Linked DNA regions of Stegostoma tigrinum. The protein of the gene in region 1 interacts with the protein of each later gene in a pairwise test. Links are inferred from orthologs where the notes say so. Each region holds a gene or a part of one and is shown in the gene's direction. Other genes may lie near its edges.

Evidence for each region.
Region 2: the proteins of lmtk2 (region 1) and unconventional myosin-VI interact in a two-hybrid assay, tested with the Homo sapiens proteins (2 studies listed by BioGRID). The link is inferred for Stegostoma tigrinum from reciprocal best matches to the Homo sapiens genes LMTK2 and MYO6.

The regions. Positions count from the first base shown.
Region 1 is NC_081376.1:35,093,445-35,104,300, forward strand, and holds the start of lmtk2 (serine/threonine-protein kinase LMTK2), read left to right. Parts: upstream 1-5,303; 5' UTR 5,304-5,426; coding exon 5,427-5,511; intron 5,512-10,856. UniProt on the Homo sapiens protein: Phosphorylates PPP1C, phosphorylase b and CFTR.
Region 2 is NC_081362.1:28,016,451-28,027,447, forward strand, and holds the start of unconventional myosin-VI, read left to right. Parts: upstream 1-5,420; 5' UTR 5,421-5,548; intron 5,549-10,997. UniProt on the Homo sapiens protein: Myosins are actin-based motor molecules with ATPase activity. Unconventional myosins serve in intracellular movements. Myosin 6 is a reverse-direction motor protein that moves towards the minus-end of actin filaments.

The DNA.
Region 1 (10,856 bases):
CCTCTCCGATGAAGGGTCTAGGCCCGAAATGTCAGCTTTTGTGCTCCTGAGATGCTGTTTGGCCTGCTGTGTTCATCCAGCTTCACACTTTGTTATCTTTATTGTGAATATGTTAAGTTTTGTTTCCAGTGCTTTTACAATTACAAAGAAGGAACTGACGGAGTTCCATGGCCCTCTAACGCCATCCTCGCTTGAAGTACTCATAATTCATATCTAACACTATATAGTACTGTGGTGACTATCGGACCAATCTTATCATTCTGATGATCACAAACGTACTGTTTTCAGCAAGGTCAGATAGAAATGAGGGCTGGGAAGCATGAATGATTCACCTCTGTGTAAAGCCCAGACTACTTAAACCAATGCAGTACTTCTGCAGTTGCTCTGCATGTAATCAACTAACTCAAAGACAGTGATTTAAAAACTTGGAATCTTCCTAACTGATGTGACTAACAATGAGATCTTGCATCTGTGTTGCAGCTTTAACATAATAGAACACCACCACACCCCAAAGCCTAATCCTGCCAAATGGATACAAAGCCAACAAAAGCACATATTAGCACTAGCAATCATCGGCTTGGTGAAACAGATAGATATCGAGGAGCATTTTAAAGCAGAAAAGGGTAAGGTGACGACCAAAATTTCTTGATGGCAAAGTTTTCCAAATATCCATTGTGAAAACTTGTAAACATATTTCAATCTAAACATAGCAACGTTATGTTAGAGGGCAGCCAAGGTATCATTATCTTCATTGGAGTATCCTTCAAGCCAAATTGCTCCATTAAAATAGATATAGGTCAATCACTACTGTGTGACAGTGACTGAATTTGACTTTCAAACAGCTTATATTGATGCTTGGCCCTGTTAGAAATCAACTGGTTTATTAGTCCATAATTATGAATCTCACATGAAGCATTTTGTTGATGTTGGCAAACCCATGAGACACTAATAGGTTTAAAATTTAATTATCCTTAACCTGAAATTCAGTCTTAACAACAGTTCTATTGCAGGATGTTTCTATTGCATTAATTTTATAAATACATAAATTTAAGTTTCTTAGAAAGATGGGTGGGAACCTGAGCTGTATACCGGAGGTGAGAGTTGATGCAGGTGAGGCAGTAGCAAGAGGTAGACCAGCTAGTGGGAAGGATTTTCCTGGGAAGGAACCAAGGGATCAGTTAAAGTGTGTTTGCTTTAACGCGAGGAGTATCAGGAATAAAAGTGATGAACTTAGAGCATGGATCAGTACCTGGTGCTATGATGTTGTGGCCATAACAGAGACATGGGTTTCTCATGGGCAGGAATGGTTGCTGGATGTTCCAGGGTTTAGAACATTTAAAAAGAATAGGGAGGGGGGAAAAAGAGGAGGGGGTGTAGCACTACTAATCAGAGAGGGTATCACAGCTACAGAAGCTTCCATTGTCGAGGAAGATCTGCCTACTGAGTCAGTCTGGGTGGAAATTAGGAACAGCAAGGGAGCAGTCACCTCGTTAGGGGTTTACTACAGGCCCCCCAATAGCAGCAGGGAGATTGAAGAAAGCATAGGTCGACAGATTTTGGAAAAGTGTGGTTGCAGTAGGGTTGTTGTAATGGGTGACTTTAACTTTCCTAATATTGATTGGAACCTGCTTCGAGCAGAAGATTTGAATGGAGCTGTATTTGTAAGGTGTGTTCAGGAGGGTTTCCTAACGCAGTACGTTGACAGGCCGACGAGGGGAGAGGCCATTCTAGACTTGGTGCTCGGAAACGAGCCGGGGCAGGTATCAGATCTTGTGGTGGGAGAGCATTTTGGTGATAGTGACCATAACTGCCTCACATTCTACATAGCTATGGAGAAGGAGAGGATTAGGCAAAATGGGAGGATATTTAATTGGGGAAGAGGAAACTATGACGCGATTAGACACGAGTTAGGAAGCACGGACTGGGAGCAATTGTTCCATGGTAAGGGAACTATAGACATGTGGAGACTGTTTAAGGAACAGTTGTTGCGAGTGATGAGTAAATATGTCCCTCTGAGACAGGCAAGAAGGGGTAAGATAAAGGAACCTTGGATGACGAGAGCGGTGCAGCTTCTTGTGAAAAGGAAGAAGGTAGCTTACATAAGGTGGAGGAAGCTAGGGTCAAGTTCAGCTAGAGAGGATTACTTGCAGGCAAGGAAGGAGCTCAAAAAAGGTCTGAGGAGAGCCAGGAGGGGGCACGAGAAAGGCTTGGCAGAAGGAATCAGGGAAAACACAAAGGCATTTTACACTTATGTGAGGAATAAGAGAATGGTCAAAGAAAGAGTAGGGCCGATCAGGGATAGCATAGGGAACTTGTGTGTGGAGTCTGAGGAGGTAGGGGAAGCCCTTAATGAGTTTTTTGCTTCTGTCTTTACGAAAGAAACGAACTTTGTAGTGAATGAAACCTTTGAAGAGCAGGTGTGCATGCTAGAATGGATAGAGATAGAGGAAGCTGATGTGCCGAAAATTTTGTCAAACATTAAGATTGACAAGTCGCCAGGCCCGGACCAGATTTGTCCTCGGCTGCTTTGGGAAGCGAGAAATGAAATTACTTCACCACTTGTGAAGATCTTTGCATCCTCTCTCTCCACTGGAGTCGTACCTGAGGACTGGAGAGAGGCAAATGTAATTCCGCTCTTCAAGAAAGGAAATAGGGAAATCCCCGGCAATTACAGACCAGTAAGTCTCACGTCTGTCGTCTGCAAGGTGTTAGAAAGGATTCTGAGGGATAGGATTTATGACCATCTGGAGGAGCATGGCTTGATCAAATACAGTCAACACGGCTTTGTGAGGGGTAGGTCATGCCTCACAAACCTTATCGAGTTTTTTGAGGATGTGACTAGAAAAGTTGATGAGGTTCGAGCTGTGGATGTGGTGTATATGGACTTCAGTAAGGCATTTGATAAGGTTCCCCATGGTAGGCTCATTCAGAAGGTCAGGAGGAATGGGATACAGGGGAACTTAGCTGCTTGGATAGAGAATTGGCTGGCCAACAGAAGACAGCGAGTGGTAGTAGAAGGAAAATATTCTGCCTGGAAGTCAGTGGTGAGTGGGGTTCCACAGGGCTCTGTCCTTGGGCCTCTAATGTTTGTAATTTTTATTAATGACTTGGATGAGGGGATTGAAGGATGGGTCAGCAAGTTTGCAGACGACACAAAGGTCGGAGGTGTCGTTGACAGTATAGAGGGCTGTTGTAGACTGCAGCGGGACATTGACAGGATGCAGAGATGGGCTGAGAGGTGGCAGATGGAGTTCAACCTGGATAAATGCGAGGTGATGCATTTTGGAAGGTCGAATTTGAAAGCTGAGTACAGGATTAAGGATAGGATTCTTGGCAGCATGGAGGAACAGAGGGATCTTGGTGTGCAGATACATAGATCCCTTAAAATGGCCACCTAAGTGGACAGGGTTGTTAAGAAAGCATATGGTGTTTTGGCTTTCATTAACAGGGGGATTGAGTTTAAGAGTCGTGAGATCTTGTTGCAGCTCTATAAGGCTTTGGTTAGACTGCACTTGGAATACTGCCTCCAGTTCTGGTCGCCCTATTATAGGAAAGATGTGGATGCTTTGGAGAGGGTTCAGAGGAGGTTTACCAGGATGCTGCCTGGACTGGAGGGCTTATCTTATGAAGAGAGGTTGACTGAGCTCGGTCTCTTTTCATTGGAGAAAAGGAGGAGGAGAGGGGACCTAATTGAGGTATACAAGATAATGAGAGGCATAGATAGAGTTGATAGCCAGAGACTATTTCCCAGGGCAGAAATGGCTAGCACGAGGGGTCATAGTTTTAAGCTGGTTGGTGGAAAGTATAGAGGGGATGTCAGAGGTGGGTTCTTTACACAGAGAGTTGTGAGAGCATGGAATGCGTTGCCAGCAGCAGTTGTGGAAGCAAGGTCATTGGGGTCATTTAAGAGACTGCTGGACATGCATATGGTCACAGAAATTTGAGGGTGCATACACGAGGATCAATGGTCGGCACAACATTGTGGGCTGAAGGGCCTGTTCTGTGCTGTACTGTTCTATGTTCTATGTTCTAATCACTGAATGCTTTTAAAAATTAATTAAAAATTACAAATAACGTTTTTTCTTATGGCAAGGTAGGTGCAAGGGAAATTTAAGAAATGTTGAAAATTAGGAAGGATTTTAATGGAATAGATAACAACTAAAATTTATATACAGCCTGTAATGATATAAAACATACCAGAGCGCTTTACTTGGGTCATATGAAACAAATTGTAGCACTGTGTTATATTACGACAGATGACCAAAGTTTGACCAAAGAGTTTGTTTATAAGGCAGGCCCCAAAGATGAAATTGAGATAGAGCAAAGAGGGAAAGAAATGAGGATCTAGGGGTTTGGAAGATGGTATGGTACTGGAGATTCAGTCATGTGATGGCGCAGATTTAAGATTGCTAAGAAAGCAATGGATAGATTAGAAGGACGATTTTTCAAAACAGTGCAGCTAATTGTTATGAATTGCACAATTAAAAAGAAAAAAAAACAGTGAAGCTATGTGGTAAAACCAGAGGAAGTTGGGCTAATTCCATTCAAAGAACTAGCATATAAAAAAACTTATTGTAAGGTTCTCTGTGAGGAGGAAATCAAGCCAGTCATATAATTTTCAACGCCTCGATCCAATTAACATTGAGTCACGTTAAGGGATGGCAGCAGTCATATTGTGAATACCTATTATAAGGTCGAGAAACAGTCCTGACCTCGAAGGATGTTACTCAATTACTAGGTCCTTAGCAACACACTCCAAGAGCCTGCCCCAAACTGCCCCTGCTTGTCTCCTGCGGTTGCTAGGCGAATGACGCAGACTCCCGGGGACGAGTCCGTCCATTACAGCCTTCAGCCCGGAATTCCCGCCCCTATCGTTGATTGGCTGCGCTTCCCAGGTCACAGAGGCGTCCAATTGGTCAGAGAGCGTTGTCAGTCACAGCGGAGGAGCGGAGCAGACTGTTTCCGGACGCGAGCAGGCATGATGGCGGCTGTGGGAAAATTGACGGGAGGTGGGAGGTTGTATCACTAGCGAAAGTGCAAATTAAAATAAAACCACCATCGTCGCACAGACAAAACAGATGAATGGAATGTTACCGACCGCGAGAATAATGGATTGGGGCTGGGATCTGGGAGAAAAATCGGTGTGGAGAGGCGTTCAAGGCCTGTGAGTAAGGATGAGTTTCTGTGGTCCGACTCCAGCGACTGTTTGCTGCCGAAAAATCCGAAAGAAAAGCTCCAGAAGGGGAGAGCGCGGCGGCCGGCCTGCTGTTGGTATTTAAAGGGACGGAGGGCGGGCGGGGAAGTGGGGAAGAGTTGAACGTTGACATCGGCTCGTATTGACGGCAAATCGGTCTGTTCGTATAAATGCTTCAGATTGATGATCTTTCGAGACCCTGACGACGACGAGCAGTCAATCCCAGCCGAGAATGGCGATACACGCCGGCAATCTCTTACTGACATTATTGGCATTGCGCAGCGTCCAAGGTGCTCCACTTCCGCAAACAGGTGCAGGTCAGTGCATTCGGGCATCAACTAAATAACAAAAGATTGGACGTAGCATATTAATCGTTTATGTCTTAAAAACATAACTCAGCTCTTGGGTTACGTACAGATAAGAAGCATTTTACTTCTACGGAAAGTGACGGGTACAACCGGTTTGTTTATTATGAAATTTCTCAATCTAGAATCAAAAGTGTACGTCATGTTGAGAGATGTAACCGGCTGCCTGCGAGTCTTAATTGTAATGTAATAGGATGGCATTGGACATCTAGGGTAGTATTGGAGTGCAGTACATTCTCTCAATAGAAGATAATCAGAGTTTCTTTCACGGGTTTTTTTTTCTGTGTCACACTGATTATTTATTCTAACGTTCGAATGTTTTAAGCTTACTGTTTTCAGAAGTGATTGCCTGCCATTTTGAAAAAAATTCATGGGAATGAAGTAATGCCATCTCTGCATTGTTAAAATTTATTCCATTGTTAAATTGAACTATGGAAACATTTGGGATAATTGAAATTAAATATATCATAGCTGTATCAAGGTTAGGTGCTAAAATCTATACTTTTAAAAATCAAAACGTGTACTTGTCAGTTCTGTGCTGTGCCTTGATTGAACTACATCTCACGATTTCAGTTGGTGCTTTAAACCGTGGGTTCAACAGAAATCCAACTTACCAATTCATGCATGTTTTATATTATTAGTTTTGAGTGCAAATGCAGTTGCTATATTTTGTTTCATTAATGGCAAATAAAGTTTAATTTGGATAAATGCTAGCTATTGCATTTTGGTAAAACAAACAGAATTAAAAATAGAATCTTGGACAGTGTTGTATAATGGAGACTGAGGTGTTCAGGTACATAATTTTTTGAAGTTTGCGTCACACATATATAGGGTGTTTAAAAAGGCGTTTAGCATGCTTTCCTTCATTGCCTCAGATTTGAATATAGGAGTTAGGAAGGTATGTTGATTAAACAGGATGTTGGTGAGGCCTCTTCAGGAGCACTGTGTCCATTACTGGTCTCCCTGTTACAGGAAGGATATTATTTAGCTGGAGAAGATTCAGAAGAGATTTATCAGGATTCTAGGATGGAGGGTTTGAGCTACAGGGAGAGGCTGGGACTCTTCACGGGAGCATAGGAGGTTGAGAGTTGACCTTATAGAGGTTTATAAAATCATGATGGGTACAGAATGGCAGGTGTCTTTTCCCTAAGGGCATTTAAATTTCTAGGGATTTAAAGACTAGGGGCATATTTTTACGATGAGTGGAGAAAAATTTAAAACAGACATGAAGGACAATTTTTACATAGGGTGGTTTTGTGTGTGGAATGAACTTGTGGTGGATGAGGGTATGGTTACAACCGTTAAAAGACATTTAGTTAAGTACTTGAATAAGAAATGTTTGGAAGGATGTGTGCCAAGGGAAGGCAGGTAGGACCAGTTTAGTTTGGAATTATGAACAGCATGGATTGGTTGGACCAAAGGATCTGTTTCTGCGCTGTATGACTCTAGTTATGAGAGAACTGGAACTGAAATTTTTGTGAACGGACTACGCAGCAGAACAGATGTTTTGGAAGTTTTTGCATTTTGAATCATGAAAACATTACAGAGATATACTTTAGTCATTCCCCAAATGTTCAGTACGCAATGGCTCTTGCATTTTGCATTTGAATGACAGTTCATGTTAAAATACCAGCAAGTAAATGGTATATGTTTTGATTAATAACATGACAAAACTCCATTTTGACTTGGATTGAGAGGAAGATCCTTTTCAGGAAAAGTTGATTCTCACGTGTCAATGGACTTTAAGGCAATAGTTTTCTTGTGCACCCTTGGTTTTGGGATGAATCTTAGTGGTTTAAAGAACAGTTGGAGGTGACAAAATATGTATAATCTTTCATTTAAATTGGTTTAATTTTAAATTTGGAGTCATAGCCTCAGATTGGCCTTTACCATTGGGAACTGTAACACTGAAAGCCTTTGTTTTAATCAAACAAAAAATCTGTGCAAGTCTATTCACTTTCTTTGTAGTCCTCTGTCTCGTATAAATATGATCAAAAAATGGTCTTGGTTAGATGTGGCTTTTTTAAAATTTCTTTGTAGTATTCATATTGTTAATTTAAAAAGGAAAAACGTTAGAATTCAAAGTGAGTAGGTTTCTTCAGAAAAAAACTGTTGACTTTGTCTAGGCTTTTGTGCTCCTGAGATGCTGCTTGGCCTGCTGTGTTCATCCAGCTTCACACTTTGTTATGTTGACTTTGTCCCTTCACTCCCACCGTCAACTGATAAAAATGCTCCTTTGCTGTTGTTGTCCTGGAGCACCTTTCCCTCAGGCAGTTGTATGCTGTGCTAGCACAATGGAGGCAGTGCTGGATCTCTTATTCAATGACTGTTTTAGTCGACAGGACGCTGCTGAGGTGTTGAAAGTGGACAGTGTTCTCTAAGGCCTCCCCATGAACTGTGATCAGGGGCTCACTTAGCAATGCTGGGCCAGGTTGTTGGAGGAGCTTCATTGTTTGGATGTTCGCTGAGACCCATGCTGTCATATGCCTCTGCAAAGTGCTGATGACGGTCTAGGCTTTGACCTCTGAGTTTGCACATATGCAAGCATCATCTGTGTACTATAGCTCGATGACACTAGCTGTGGTGATTTTGGTTTTGGCTTGAAGGTGGCGGAGGTCGAATAATTTTCTGCTGGTTCTGTAGATTAGCTGCACTCCATTGGAGAGTTTGGTGAGGTAAAGCATTGCAGTGAGGTAGATTGAGAACAGTGTTTGGGTGATGTAGGCCTCTTGGTACTGAATTGAACAGGGAATGGATCGGGGAGTGGAGCCATTTGTCACTACCATAACCTCCACACTGTTGTGGAATAGGCATAGAATGGTGACAAACTTTGTGTGTAGCCAAAGCAGAGGATGCTTCATAATTCTTCCTAGTTGAAGGCGTCGAAGGCCATGTACATGGGTCGATTCTTTTCTCTGCATTTTTCATGCAGCTGTCACAGGGTGAAAATCATGTCCATTGTGTCCCTGCATGGCCAGAAGCAACATTACTGCAGGGAGGAAATGATTGAGGGGAGGAACTTGGCGATGATTTTTCCAATGATTGTCGGCACCACAGTCATTACACAGTCGCACTTATTTCATTTTTGGAAATCGCTCAAGATTATGGCGTTTTGGAGTTATCCTGGGATGCTGTCCTCTTTCCAGATCAGACAGATAAAGGCGTGTAGCCGCAGCAGGAAGTCATTGTCTCTATACTTCAGTGCCTCAGTGGGGATGCCATTTGCTCCAACAGCATTGTTGTTCTTGACCTTGTGGAAGGCTTTCTATACTTAATGTGCAGCCGGAGTGTTGCTGACCTCATGCTGTCTAGCGTGCTGTGGGATGTGGTCAAGATTGCTTGGATTGATGACAGAGCCTTGGTTGAGGAGGTCTTTGACATGCTTCCCTCATGCTGTTTGATGGTTTCTTTGTCTTTGAAAAGATTCACTCCTCAGCCAGCAGGGGTTTGGGGTCTTGGGTACTTGGTCGATAGGTGTTCATACTAGCACTGGAGAAACCCTGCATATTATGGTAGTCAGCCATTTGTTGGGCCTCCATCTGTTTTTTATATTATAGATTTGTTGTTGGACCCCAGTCTTTGGTCGCCTGTCGGCCTCCCATTTTTCTTTGGCGTGCAGTTGCAGTTTTACACACAGAAATTCCCCGTACTTCTGGCTTGAAAATTCTTGAATCTCCTGTTCATTCTTGTCAAACAAGTCTTGATGTTTCCTGGTTCAGTGACTGGTCGAGTTCTTGCAGCCATTAATGATAGTGTCCTTGAGGGGGACCAGAGGCTGTTGGAATCCCACAACTCAGTGTCACCAAGGATCACTAAATTTGTGAGGGGAGTTATTTGTATGAAGCTGTCTTTTCCAAAATCTTGAGTGCCTCAATGTTAAACTTCGTGCCGGGCTATATTTTTGTTGATTCTGGCTTGGATCTGGTGATTGACTGCCAACAGTTGTCGGCGTAGGTGATTTTAAAGTCTTTGCAATTGCTTGCTTTAATGATGATGTAGTCATGGTGCTATTGTTTGTCCTTTTGGTGGAACAGTAAGTTGGTGATGAAGATGTGTTCACAGCATTTGGTTGGGGGATGGGTGCCATTGGGATTTTGTTTGCTTACCTCCACTTCCCCAATTACAAGGTCCCAGAGGACTGCTCTTTGCTTTTGGTGTTGAAATCACTGAGGACGATTTAGTTTGTCTGCTGTGGGGACCTGAGAGAGAGGGAGAGAGAGAGAGTTGTCAAGGCTGGAGTGGAATTCCTCCTTGTCCTCAGTTGCTGTATATGCACTGAATATCTTGATGTACTGGCTCTGAGCTAGGCTGAGTTAGTGTGACATGAGGCATTTGCATATTCCGGCGAATCTTTGTGTTGGTCCATCAGTTCATTTTTGATAACGAAACTGACTCTAGGGATGTACTTTTCTCTGGCTTTTCCTTTCCAGATAAAGGTGTAGCCATCACCTTGTTTCCTGAGCTGTCCTTCCCATACCTGTGGGGTATCACTCAGGGCAGCAATGCCAGGATAGTAGTGCCTGAGTTCCTGGGCAACAGTGGCAGCTCAGCACTCTGGTCTGTCACTGGCAGCACTCGCCATAAGTGTCCTGACATTTCAGGTTCCAAATTTCATCCTGAGGGTGTGGAAGGTCTCCCTGTGAAAGTTCTTTTAATGTGGAGAAACCGTTGCACGCCGGCTACCACAGGCAGGCACAAGGCCCTGATCCAGTGACAAGGGGGTGCCAAGACAACTGGACACTAACTTAGATTACCTGTGGTGGAGTGCAGACAAACAATTCAGTGTGGGCAGTATCTCCTGGATTAGTGTGAGGTCCGAGGTGAGCGGTGTGTGAAGAAGAAGAAGACGGAAAGGACAGCATGGCTGCTGCCATTGTGCTGGTCATTCTCTGTCTGTGATTGTAAAATCACTGGGCTGGGGCTGGGGGAGCTTATAGAAACACCAAACTGGGCTGGGCGGTTTATAAAGTTACTGATTGGGGCTGGTGAGTAGTTTTATATAAACACTTGCCTGAGAGGAGTTTATATAAACACTGGGCTGGGAAAGTGTTCAAAGTTACTGGGCTGCAAGCGTTTCTAAAAGCAATGAGGCAGGGTGGGGGAGTTTTTAGATAAGCATTGGACTCTTGGGGGAGTTTATAAAATCACCTGGCTGGGAGGGTATCTTAAAAATTATTGGACTGGAAGTGGATGTTATAAACCTGCCGGGAGTGTTGTGTAAACATGAGGAATACCTTTGGGAACACTCAGGGGACCTCTCCACCACAGTCTGCCTTGGTGCACAGGCAGTCTTGGAG
Region 2 (10,997 bases), on another chromosome or scaffold:
GTCTAGGCCCGAAACGTCAGCTTTTGTGCTCCTGAGATGCTGCTTGGCCTGCTGTGTTCATCCAGCTTCACACTTTATTATCCACTGCAATTTACTTCTTTTAACCGTTTGCTTCTTAGCTGTTCATCCCCATAGCAACCACAGGTCATGGACATTTATTGGAAACTCATCCTAACAAATTAATAATCTTTCAGCATACACTCTTGATTAATTTTAGTCTTAAAGGTACACCTCACAAAAGAAATTATAGGCATTGCTCGACATAAGGGTTCTCACATTCCCAGTGCTTTTAAGATGTAATACAACATTTGCAGTGGTGATACAATGGATGTATTACATCACTTCTGTTGACATTCATCAGTGTGAGCATTGTTAACAAAACCAATATTTGTTGCTCATTCCTAGTTGTTTTTGAGATGGAAATGGCAAGCTGCCTTCTTGAATTATTGCAGTCCATGAGGTGAAGGTACTTACACAGTGCTATAAGTGTTTTCTTAAGAAGGGTCCAGACCCAAAACATCAGCTTTCCTGCTCCTCTGATGCTGCCTGGCCTGGTACAAGTGTTGTACTTTAAGAAATTTTACTAGACAATGATTAAATAATAACAAAGTATTTCTGAATCAGGATGATTAGAAAAACACTTGTAAGTAGTTGTATTCCACTGCTTTTGCTGTCACTTTCCTTCCAGATAATAAATCTCATGAGATTGGCTGGTTCTGTGGGAAGTGCCATGGTGAGTTGTTGTTGTGTATCTTGTAAATGACACTGAAACCAGAGTGCCCAGAGAGATTGGAGTGTGGGGGGCTGTGTGTGTGCACATTGAGTGAACATTTAAATAATGGATGTGCCAGCCACGGATGACTGCTTTGCCCTAAACAGTGTTGTGTTTCCTGGATATTGTTGCAATGTCATTCATCTTGTGAAATATATTTTACCTCATTCTTTCCTTTTTCTTTGCAGATAGTAGAAATGTTTTGAGGAGTCAGGAGATGAACCTGTTTTTGCATAATGTCCACTGGTTCTTGTGGCCACAGCATTTATTCATTGGTCCAGTTGAGTTTAGGTCAGTGGTAATTACAGGATATTGATGGGGAGGGACACTGTGATAATAAGATTATAGATCATGGAGAGATGGATTAGATTTTTTGTTGAAGTTGGCCATTACCTGGCAACAATGTGATGCAAATGTTACTTGCATTGTACCTTTAAAATGAAAATGAATCTAGAATGTATTAGCACAATCCTGGAGGATGTTCAGGTTTGCCTACATTTACTAATGAATTGCTGTCAGAGGTAGAGCATGTGGTGCATCATTCCCAGTGTTATGGATCAGACTAAAGCCCTTCAAGATATATTAAGACGATAGCCTAGACCATAACTTTTTCTTATTTCAAGTACCAGGTATTGTGTTACAGATCTAATTCGATTGGTCAAACTTCTAGTCTTGAAGCAAAACACATTTCATTTATACACTGTAATTAATATACTACCAAAGGAAGAAAAAAATTGAAATAACGTAATTATGCTGGAAAACTTAACAGAATAATAGATTATTTAACTACGAAACAGTGACTGTTTCAACATAGTAACATCTCATAAACACACTCTTAGCAAAGGAAAATTCAGTAAAATAGATTGTCTCACATGCAATTCTCTAATCCAGCAGGAAAATCATCAAGACAAAACCCTAAGAGAGAGAGAGAGAGACCAAGTTGCAGGGAGAGATGTACTGCAGCTTCCAAACCCAACTTCAAGACCCCAGCAACTGCTACAAGCTAAAACTAAAAATCCTGGTTCTGTGGAAGCTTGACCCCAGCCATTCAGGCTGCTTTTATTGTTCCAACTTAAAAAAAGTGCCTCACAAGCTGTTTAATTTATTGGATTCAAACAGACAGCTTGATACCTCTGTCTTAAAACATGTCTTCAAAACAAAAAGGACAAAATGTACCTCTTAAAGCCATAGTATCATCACACTAGTGGCAGTGATACAGGATACATAGTACTATTTTGAGTGTTACAAATTGAAGCTCAATGTAGCTCTCTGTTGTTTCTGAATCAGAAGGTTAAGGTTTAAGTTCCACTCCACGGACTTGAGTGCAAAATACTGTTCAATACACAAATACTGTATTGAAGGAGTGCTGTGTAGCCTAACTGCTGCGATGTTAAACCAAGGCCCCAACTGCCATCATGGGTAAAACTCCCATGATACCACTTTGACGAACCAAAGGAAATCTCTCCTGGAATTCTTGGAAAATATTTATCCATCAACTAACATGAATGAAACAGATTATCATTTAATAAGGTATCACACATAAGGCTACTTAATAAGATGAGCTCATTGTGATGGGAGTAATGTGTTAGTATTGATAGTGAATTGGTTAACTATTGAAGACAGATTTGGGATAAAAGGAGCATTTTCAGGATGGCAACCTGTGACAACTGGAGTGCCAAAGGGAATAGTGCTAAGGCCACAATTATTTATATGTATATGATTTGGAAGAAGGAAGTAAATGTATTATTGCCAAGTTTGTACATGACATAAAATAGGTGAGAAGGCAAGTAGTGAGGATGACACAATGAGCCCACAATTTAAGTGAGTGAGCCAAAATTTGGAAATGGAACATGATTGCAGATTATCCATTTTCGCAGGAGGAAGAACAGGGCTGAATTTTATTTAATAGGGAAAGACTGCAGAGCGTGCAGAACAGACGGATTTGGAGTCCTTGGACATGAATCACAAAAAGCTAACTCATTTGTTCAGTTGGTAAAAGAGAATGCAAATTCACTATTGGCTTTATTTCTAAGGGAATGGCATGTAAAATAGAGAACAAAAACAGAAAATGCTGGAGAAACTCAATAGGTCTGGCATCATCTGTGGAGAGAATATCAGAATTGAATCCAGTGACCCTTTGTCAGAGTTCTCCATTACTTCCTACTTTTGTTTCAGGTCTCCAGCATTTGCAGTTCTTTATTCTAAAAATAGAGAGGTCTTTCTAAAACCATATAAGGCACTGTTCAGGCCACATCTGGAATACTGTGATCATTTTTGGTCCACTTATTAAAGACGCGAGATACAATAATTGGAGACAGTCCAGAGAAGGTTCACTAGGTTAATTCTGGGTATTGAGGGTCTTTTTTACGACAAGAGGTTAAGTAAGTCGAACTTGTACTCACTGGGCTTTAGAAGAAGAGACCTTATTGAAACATATAGGATTATGGGATCTTGAAGGATAGTTTCCCTCATGAGACAATCCAGGGCTAGAGGGCATAATCTCAGGATAAGAGGTTGCCATTTAAATTAGAGATGAGGAGAACTTTTTCTCTGAGGGTAATCACTCCAGGGAGTTCTTTACACCACAAAGGGCTGTCGAAGCTGGGTCTTTAAACATATTTAAGGCTAAGGCAGGCATATTTTTCACCAGTCAGGAAATCAAAGATCATGGTAATGAAGCCGGAAAATAGAGTTGAGGATTATCAGATCAGCCATGATCTGATTGAATGGCAAAGTGAACACAATGTCCCAAATGCTTCTATGTCTTTCATCCTTATCTGATCCTAATTTCAGTGTTGTTTGAAGAATATTTCTACGCACTAAGTGTATGTTACACCACTAGCTAGGCTAGAATTTTGTGCCCATCTCTAATTACTTGACTTAATCAGCGGCCTGTTTAAATGGCTGCAGTCTATCTGTTGCAGGTATTAGGAATGGTGTTCTTGGATTTTGAGCCAGCAGCAGTGAAGGAATGGTGAGATATCTCAAGTCAGAACGGCATGTCTTAGGGGAAAATTTGCAGGTGCTGGTGTTCCCAGGCATTTGCTTTTCCGTTCCTTCTAGGTGGCTGAGGTTATCTGTTCGGAAGATGGATTGAAGGAAACTTGGTTAATGTTCTGCGATATATCTCGTAGATGGTACTCACTGCTGCCATTGTTTGTTGATGGTTCAGCCATTGTTTGTTGACGGTTCAGCAAGTGAATTTTTAAGATGGTGAATGTTGTGTTGAACAAGCAAGCTGTTTTGTCCTGAATAGTATCAGAGATAATGGGAACTGCAGATGCTGGAGAATTCCAAGATAATAAAATGTGAGGCTGGATGAACACAGCAGGCCAAGCAGCATCTCAGGAGCACAAAAGCTGACGTTTCGGGCCTAGACCCTTCATCAGAGAGGGGGATGGGGAGAGGGAACTGGAATAAATAGGGAGAGAGGGGGAGGCGGACCGAAGATGGAGAGTAAAGAAGATAGGTGGAGAGAGTATAGGTGGGGAGGTAGGGAGGGGATAGGTCAAGGAGGTGGGATGAGGTTAGTAGGTAGCTGGGGGTGCGGCTTGGGGTGGGAGGAAGGGATGGTTGAGAGGAAGAACCGGTTAGGGAGGCAGAGACAGGTTGGACTGGTTTTGGGATGCAGTGGGTGGGGGGGAAGAGCTGGGCTGGTTGTGTGGTGCAGTGGGGGGAGGGGACGAACTGGGCTGGTTTAGGGATGCAGTAGGGGAAGGGGAGATTTTGAAACTGGTGAAGTCCACATTGATACCATATGGCTGCAGGGTTCCCAGGCGGAATATGAGTTGCTGTTCCTGCAACCTTCGGGTGGCATCATTGTGGCAGTGCAGGAGGCCCATGATGGACATGTCATCTAGAGAATGGGAGGGGGAGTGGAAATGGTTTGCGACTGGGAGGTGCAGTTGTTTGTTGCGAACTGAGCGGAGATGTTCTGCAAAGCGGTCCCCAAGCCTCCGCTTGGTTTCCCCAATGTAGAGAAAGCCGCACCGGGTACAGTGGATGCAGTATACCACATTGGCAGATGTGCAGGTGAACCTCTGCTTAATGTGGAATGTCATCTTGGGGCCCGAAACGTCAGCTTTTGTGCTCCTGAGATGCTGCTTGGCCTGCTGTGTTCATCCAGCCTCACATTTTATTATCTTGTCCTGAATAGTGTTGAGCTTCGAGTGATGTTGCAGCTGCACCCATCCAATATCACATTCCTGACTAGAGGATTGTAGACAGTGGGCAGGCACAGTGAACTCGCTATGAGCGGGATTATTTTTGAAAAGTTAATTGTGAAAGTCTTTGGGATGCCCTTACGATGAAAGGCGCTGTTCTCTGCAGTATCTGACAGACCGTGCATATCATGTGTTCTCACTGACCGTGTTCATTGTGTTACTGGGGGCCTCTCCGTCTCTGAGGGCCATCACCGTGACGTTGATCGTCCCAGGGCCACGAACATCGGATCACCAGGACCACAGGGACGGAGAACAGGAATATCGGCACCCACACCGGGCACAGGTGGGTGGGTGTGTCGGGGGGAGTATGGAGCACGAAGATCCACACTAGGAGGAGCAAGCACTAGGGCTGGGGGCAGGATCTAGCCACACAGCGGGTATGGGCGGGGGTAGAGAAAGAGGCGGAGCACCGGGAGCCGCGCAGGGGGAGGAGCGTTAGGACTGAGCAGGATCTGGAGACGCAGCGGGAACAAAGGGGAGGAGCACCAGGACGAGTCCTGTGGCTATCGAGGGGAAACAGACTTTCTGCAACGGCACTGGTAAACAGTTGACGGTAAGAGTCGGGGGGCGACTGAGGTTAAATGAGTAAGAGGGTCGGGCGTGTTGACAGCGAATGGGGAAAACTGTGCAGTGATTGTGGGTAGGTGTTTTAGGAGTGAAAGTGGGTGAGGTTGAAGGGTTTAGGGTACCAGGGGCCTGGTCTCCATGGTAAGATGTTGTGGAAAGGACGCCACGACCGGATCCACCGCTCAACTGGAACTAGTTTGGATGAAGAGTCTTTTCCATACCCGGGTGGAGCGGGATGGAGGAAAAAGTGGGGGTTTGGGGTTTGTAGAGAGTCCTTTCCCTGTTTGAGTGTTCCCGGCCCATTCTCTCAGTGAAAGGAAGGAGGTAGGGAGTTATGTCGATTCCGAACTACTTATGGATTCGGGCTGCTCGAGTCCCGAAGAGAGCTGTGAGCTGAGTTTGTTTTTATGACCTCTCCCGGAGCCCTTTTCGGACTGTATCCTGTTTCGTGCAGGAAACTAGAGATTCCCCCGGAAAATGGCTAGGTGGGAATCCTGTCTGGTTGTTTCCCGGTTGTTTTCTGGTTGTTGAATGACCAGCAGCTGCTTCCATTCCTGAATGTCTTTATATTTAAATCGCTTTCGATTTCGACTGGGTATTATCGTTTCGATATTTCGAATAGTTTCGCCTTTAAGCTGGTTGTTTTCTTATTCGCTTGTACTGCCCTTGTTTAAATCTCTGTTGATCCGCACAGCCCCATTTCCGAATGGTGGCGTCTAAGTTGAACAGACAGTAGATTAATGGACCAAGCGAAAATGTTGTTTTTCTCCCTTCGCGCTTACAATAAATACGCTGCTTCCTTATCAAAACAGCTTCACGCAAAATATCGAACGAAAATAAGTTGCTGGAAAAACTCAGGTCTGGCAATATCTGTTAAGACAAATCAGAGTTAAAGTTTCGGGTCCGGTTACTTCCTGAGAAATATGAGATCAGACCTGAAATATTAACTCTGACTTTTCTTCACAGATGTTGCCAGACTTGCTGAGCTTTTCCAGCAACTTTATTTGGGCCCCAATTTACAGCGTCCGCAGTTCTTCCGTTTTATCAAACAAGATACTGTTTGATCAACATCGATATTTCTAGTGAGATTGCTGTTCTCTGTGCGTATCGTAATCAATTTGTACTACCGGGAGTGTGAGACGACAACATTTTAAACGTCTTTTCTCATATGGTTGACCTATCAAAATTCTGCGTGATTGGTGAATGTTTTCTTGTCCTCCTAGCTATTAATCGTTCCTGATGAAATGCTATTTTAGTCCGTGCTTTGAGGGATTCTCCAAAAGTTTTTAAGTTTAACGTTATTAACCATTTATATAGTTTCCTGTGGCGAGGGTCCTGTTTCTGATATCTAGCTTGTTTTAGTTTTGGGTTATCCTCAGTCGGCGAAGGTTTACGAAGAGTAGGTACCACACAGAACTGCAAGGGAAAATGGAGCTTTGTTTTCTGGTTTGAGGAAATTCTAACGTGCTCAATCCCTCCCTGATACCTGTTTTTAACAGGTTTTGTTTGAAGCAGCAAATAATGTGATTGGATTTGTTTATCTTTGTAAATAACTAATTTGTGCATCACTTATGGAGTAAATGTTAAATCTACATTAAATAATCTGGCGTCAGGAACTGATTGACCAACTTTCATATCTCTGGTTGTGAGCAGTTTTTGTTTGACTTGGATTAAATATCATAGTATGATAAATTGCTGTTACTTTTCCAGAGCAGTATATTATTTTGTGTAAATTATATTATGTAAATATTGAAATAGAATATGGTCACAATTGTGATTATTTTGTTCAACTAAGGTGTATGGATTCTAAAGGTGGTTTAGTGGTACTAGTTGAAACAACTAAATTGTGCTGCCTATAATATAAAATCAAAGGATATTTTATAAATACCTCACTACTTTAGTGAACACGTCTCTGAACAGCTGTAAAATAACCAGTGCAAACCTTTTACACAAGATAAGAGGTGGAATCTGCAGAAGGATGTACTGTGCACTGTTTTCAATTGAAAATAAGTATTTGATGTAAGGTTAAAAGAAGGTAACATCAACGGTTCATTTATGCGTGCCTTTTTGAACTGGAAGACTTTAACACACAGGTTCTTCCACAAGCCTTCCAGTTTCATTGAGGCATGCACTGATGCATTAAAATAATAGATGATTTGTTGATAAATTGAGACGTTGATTTGGAATGGGAAAATGAAAGGAATGATATCACGGAATGACTGCAGATGTCATGTCATGTGTACATGATTAGAAAATGTTTAGGTTTAGCGAGGTGACACAAGTAAGATTCAACTTATAAATAAAGTAGTTGAATGTTTGAATATGTTCAAATAATAGAATTGATGTTATGTTATTTAATAGATGATGCAGTCTGGTCGCTGCTGTCATGGAGATTTGAAGGCTAATGATTTTCTATAATTCACAAAAAGAAGATTGCCTGCTTACTAATAAGTGATTAGAATACATTTTAAATTGGTTCATGATGTGAGAGATTTCACTGCTGCCCATTCTAAAAAATATATATAGTGTTTTTAAGTCCTAGTAGTACCAATCTAAATACCTGTTGTTCTGTTCATCAGAATGAAAGAAATGAAGAACTAAAAAATTTGAATCCATCCACTTGAAGTGTGACACTCTGATATTTCATTCTTAAAAGCTTGTGTTGTATTGCAGACTTTGTAACATGAGGTTAATGTGTATATTTGAATTGCGTCTAAAATAATTAATAAAGACCATTGTAATGTGATATTATCCAATTTTCTATATTTTTTCTGTCTATTTGTTCACATCAATAACATGGCTGATCTGAGGATGGTGCAAATCACAGTCTCAACGCATGGCTAAAACTTGTATTCTCACCCCAAAGTAGCAAAATCTTGTTCTCCGTTAATTGGAATAATTAATTGAGTTAACCTGCACACAATTCATGGTGCGCACAAAAGATTTGCACTTTTGCCTTTTGTGCATTAATGTTGTATCATTGCATCCAATTTATGCACAAATTCTCTCAATGTATTTTAAATAAATAAGGGATAAATGCTCGCTATGTCACTGGGGAGAACTCTTCTGCTGTTTGATTAATGCCATGGATTCCTTTACATTACTCTGGAAGGGAAAGTGCATTTTAGGCTTGAAGTCTCAACTGAAAGACGTATCTCCCTGTGCTGAATGCCAGTCTGGACTGTTTCCTGAAGTTGGTTTTTTTTTTGACACTTTTTTTTAAGCTGTTTTCTATTGACTAGTAAAATGAGTCTTGAATCTACAATTTTTGTTTAAACCCAGAAGTAAGAATGCCAGTAATTGAACCATGGCTAGCATACTGTTAATCACACTATACCTGGAGTAAAGATGAATATATTTAACACTGATTCTGTTGTAATACAGCCTCATTCTGTAATCGCTGACCTGAAACAAGAACAATGAAGGTAGTGCTCTCCATCCACCTTGCTTCAATCACTTAGACCTTCATGCTGATTTGTACCTCAAGTATAACATGGGGCTTGATTAATTTGGGAGGGCACTGGTACCAAAAAAAATCCTCTCCTCTTTGTTTAACTGTAGCCACAGCAACAAAATTTCAGAGGATGCTCCTCGTTTTGGTTTACCATAGAAAGCATTGGTGTGGCAAATTCATTGCAAATAGATGATTGAGATAGACACACCACACTGTGGTGTCCATTTTTCCTTCTACAGGGAGTGCTGGCTGTAGTATTTCCATGTAATGTATAGCAATCCCAAAATAAATATTATGAAATAAATGCATTTCTGAAGAAGGGTCTAGGCCTGAAACATCAGCTTTCCTGCTCCTCTGCTGCTTGGCCTGCTGTGTTCATCCAGCTCTGCACCTTGTCATCTTAAGTATTGTGATCATGACTTTAATGTAAATGTATAAACATTTACATGTTTCAAAAGGGCAAAAACTTTGGAAACATTCAAACTTTATAATATATCTGTCCTTATTCAGAGTGTAATAGACTTATACTTGGAATTATAGTTTGCAATTGCAACATTATATGTAGAAATGCTGCAGTTACCCTGAGCTATCAAGTAATACTTGGTGGACAGACAAAATATAATGAAGTGATTTATTTTGTCTCTATTGGTTTTCTGTGTTGGAGCATGTTATGAGGAGTATCTTTTGAGTTCTCTTTCAGGAAAATAAAATAACTCTGAGAAATATTTCCTTTATTTTTTAGGTTATCTTTTGAACAATCAGAGTTGGCCTTTACAATGCACCTGGAGTCCCAGGCACTGACTCTAGTGATTGCATGATGCTTTTGTGTTGTATGCACTAATCATGACATTTTACTTTTTCTCCTTTTTTTGCAAAATGAACAAAAAAGAAACTAAAACAAGATTAAGCATAGTGATGGATTTGGGTAGCTTTTAATTTGCCTGATCTGGGTTCAAAAGTAGGTTTCTGAAGAAGGGTTCCTGACTCAAAATGTCAGCTTTCCTACTACTCTGCTGCCTGGCCTGTGTTCTTCCAGCTCCACATTGTGTTATCTCTGACTCCGGCATTGGCAGTTCTTGCCAACTCTTTGCAAGAACTCTTTCTGTTTTCTATATTTTAGAAAAGAAAAATTCTTGGTTTTATGTCCTGGGAACCATTCTTTGTGCGAGCCATCTCTGCTTGCTTGTAGCTGTTAAACCTGCCATGAGTTGAGTGGTGGCAGACTTGTTAGCATCTTAGAAACCAGATTTAGAAGCATAAGTGCAGAATCTGGTTTGTGAACCAAGGGATTCCGGAACCTGACTTAAAGACCAATGTGGATGTGGTATTAGTCTGTATGAGATGTTTTACTGGGTGTGGTTGAAGAGCTCTAATTGTCACTAAACTGGTAGTTTTACCAACGCCACAAGATTATCTGGTTTAGGAAGACTGTGGCTTAATTCATGTGATTAAGCTTTATTGTGTATTGTACTTGCAATTAAACATAATCATATACAAGTGGGTGGCAAGTATTAATTGGAGTTTCACTTGATGCATATAAAGAGGCACTGACACGGATATGATTGAGTGATGAGGTACTGTATATTATGTTTCACCCTAAATAATAAAGAAACTGTTCCATTATCAATCCTCATTGCTGATTTTCTGAAATATTGCACATCTGTGCTGGGAGCCCTTGAAGCTGGTATTTAGATGTTTCCTGTGGGTTTCCCTATTTTAGTTCCTACTCCAGCTGAATGAGTACAAGTCACCTTTATTTGAAAAAAAAACAAAAGCTGCCATGCAAGTGACTCTGACTAAGCTGGATATTATTATCATGGCGCAAATGTCTGATTCTGACAGTTTACCACTTATCACTCAATGCGTTGCACCTCCGTTAGTCTTGGTTTCACTCACTTGTAGGTTGTGGTAGGCTTGAAAACTTTTATCATCTCTCTCAATTTTCTTTGCATGTTGGCAATACAATTGGCTGAAAGACCCC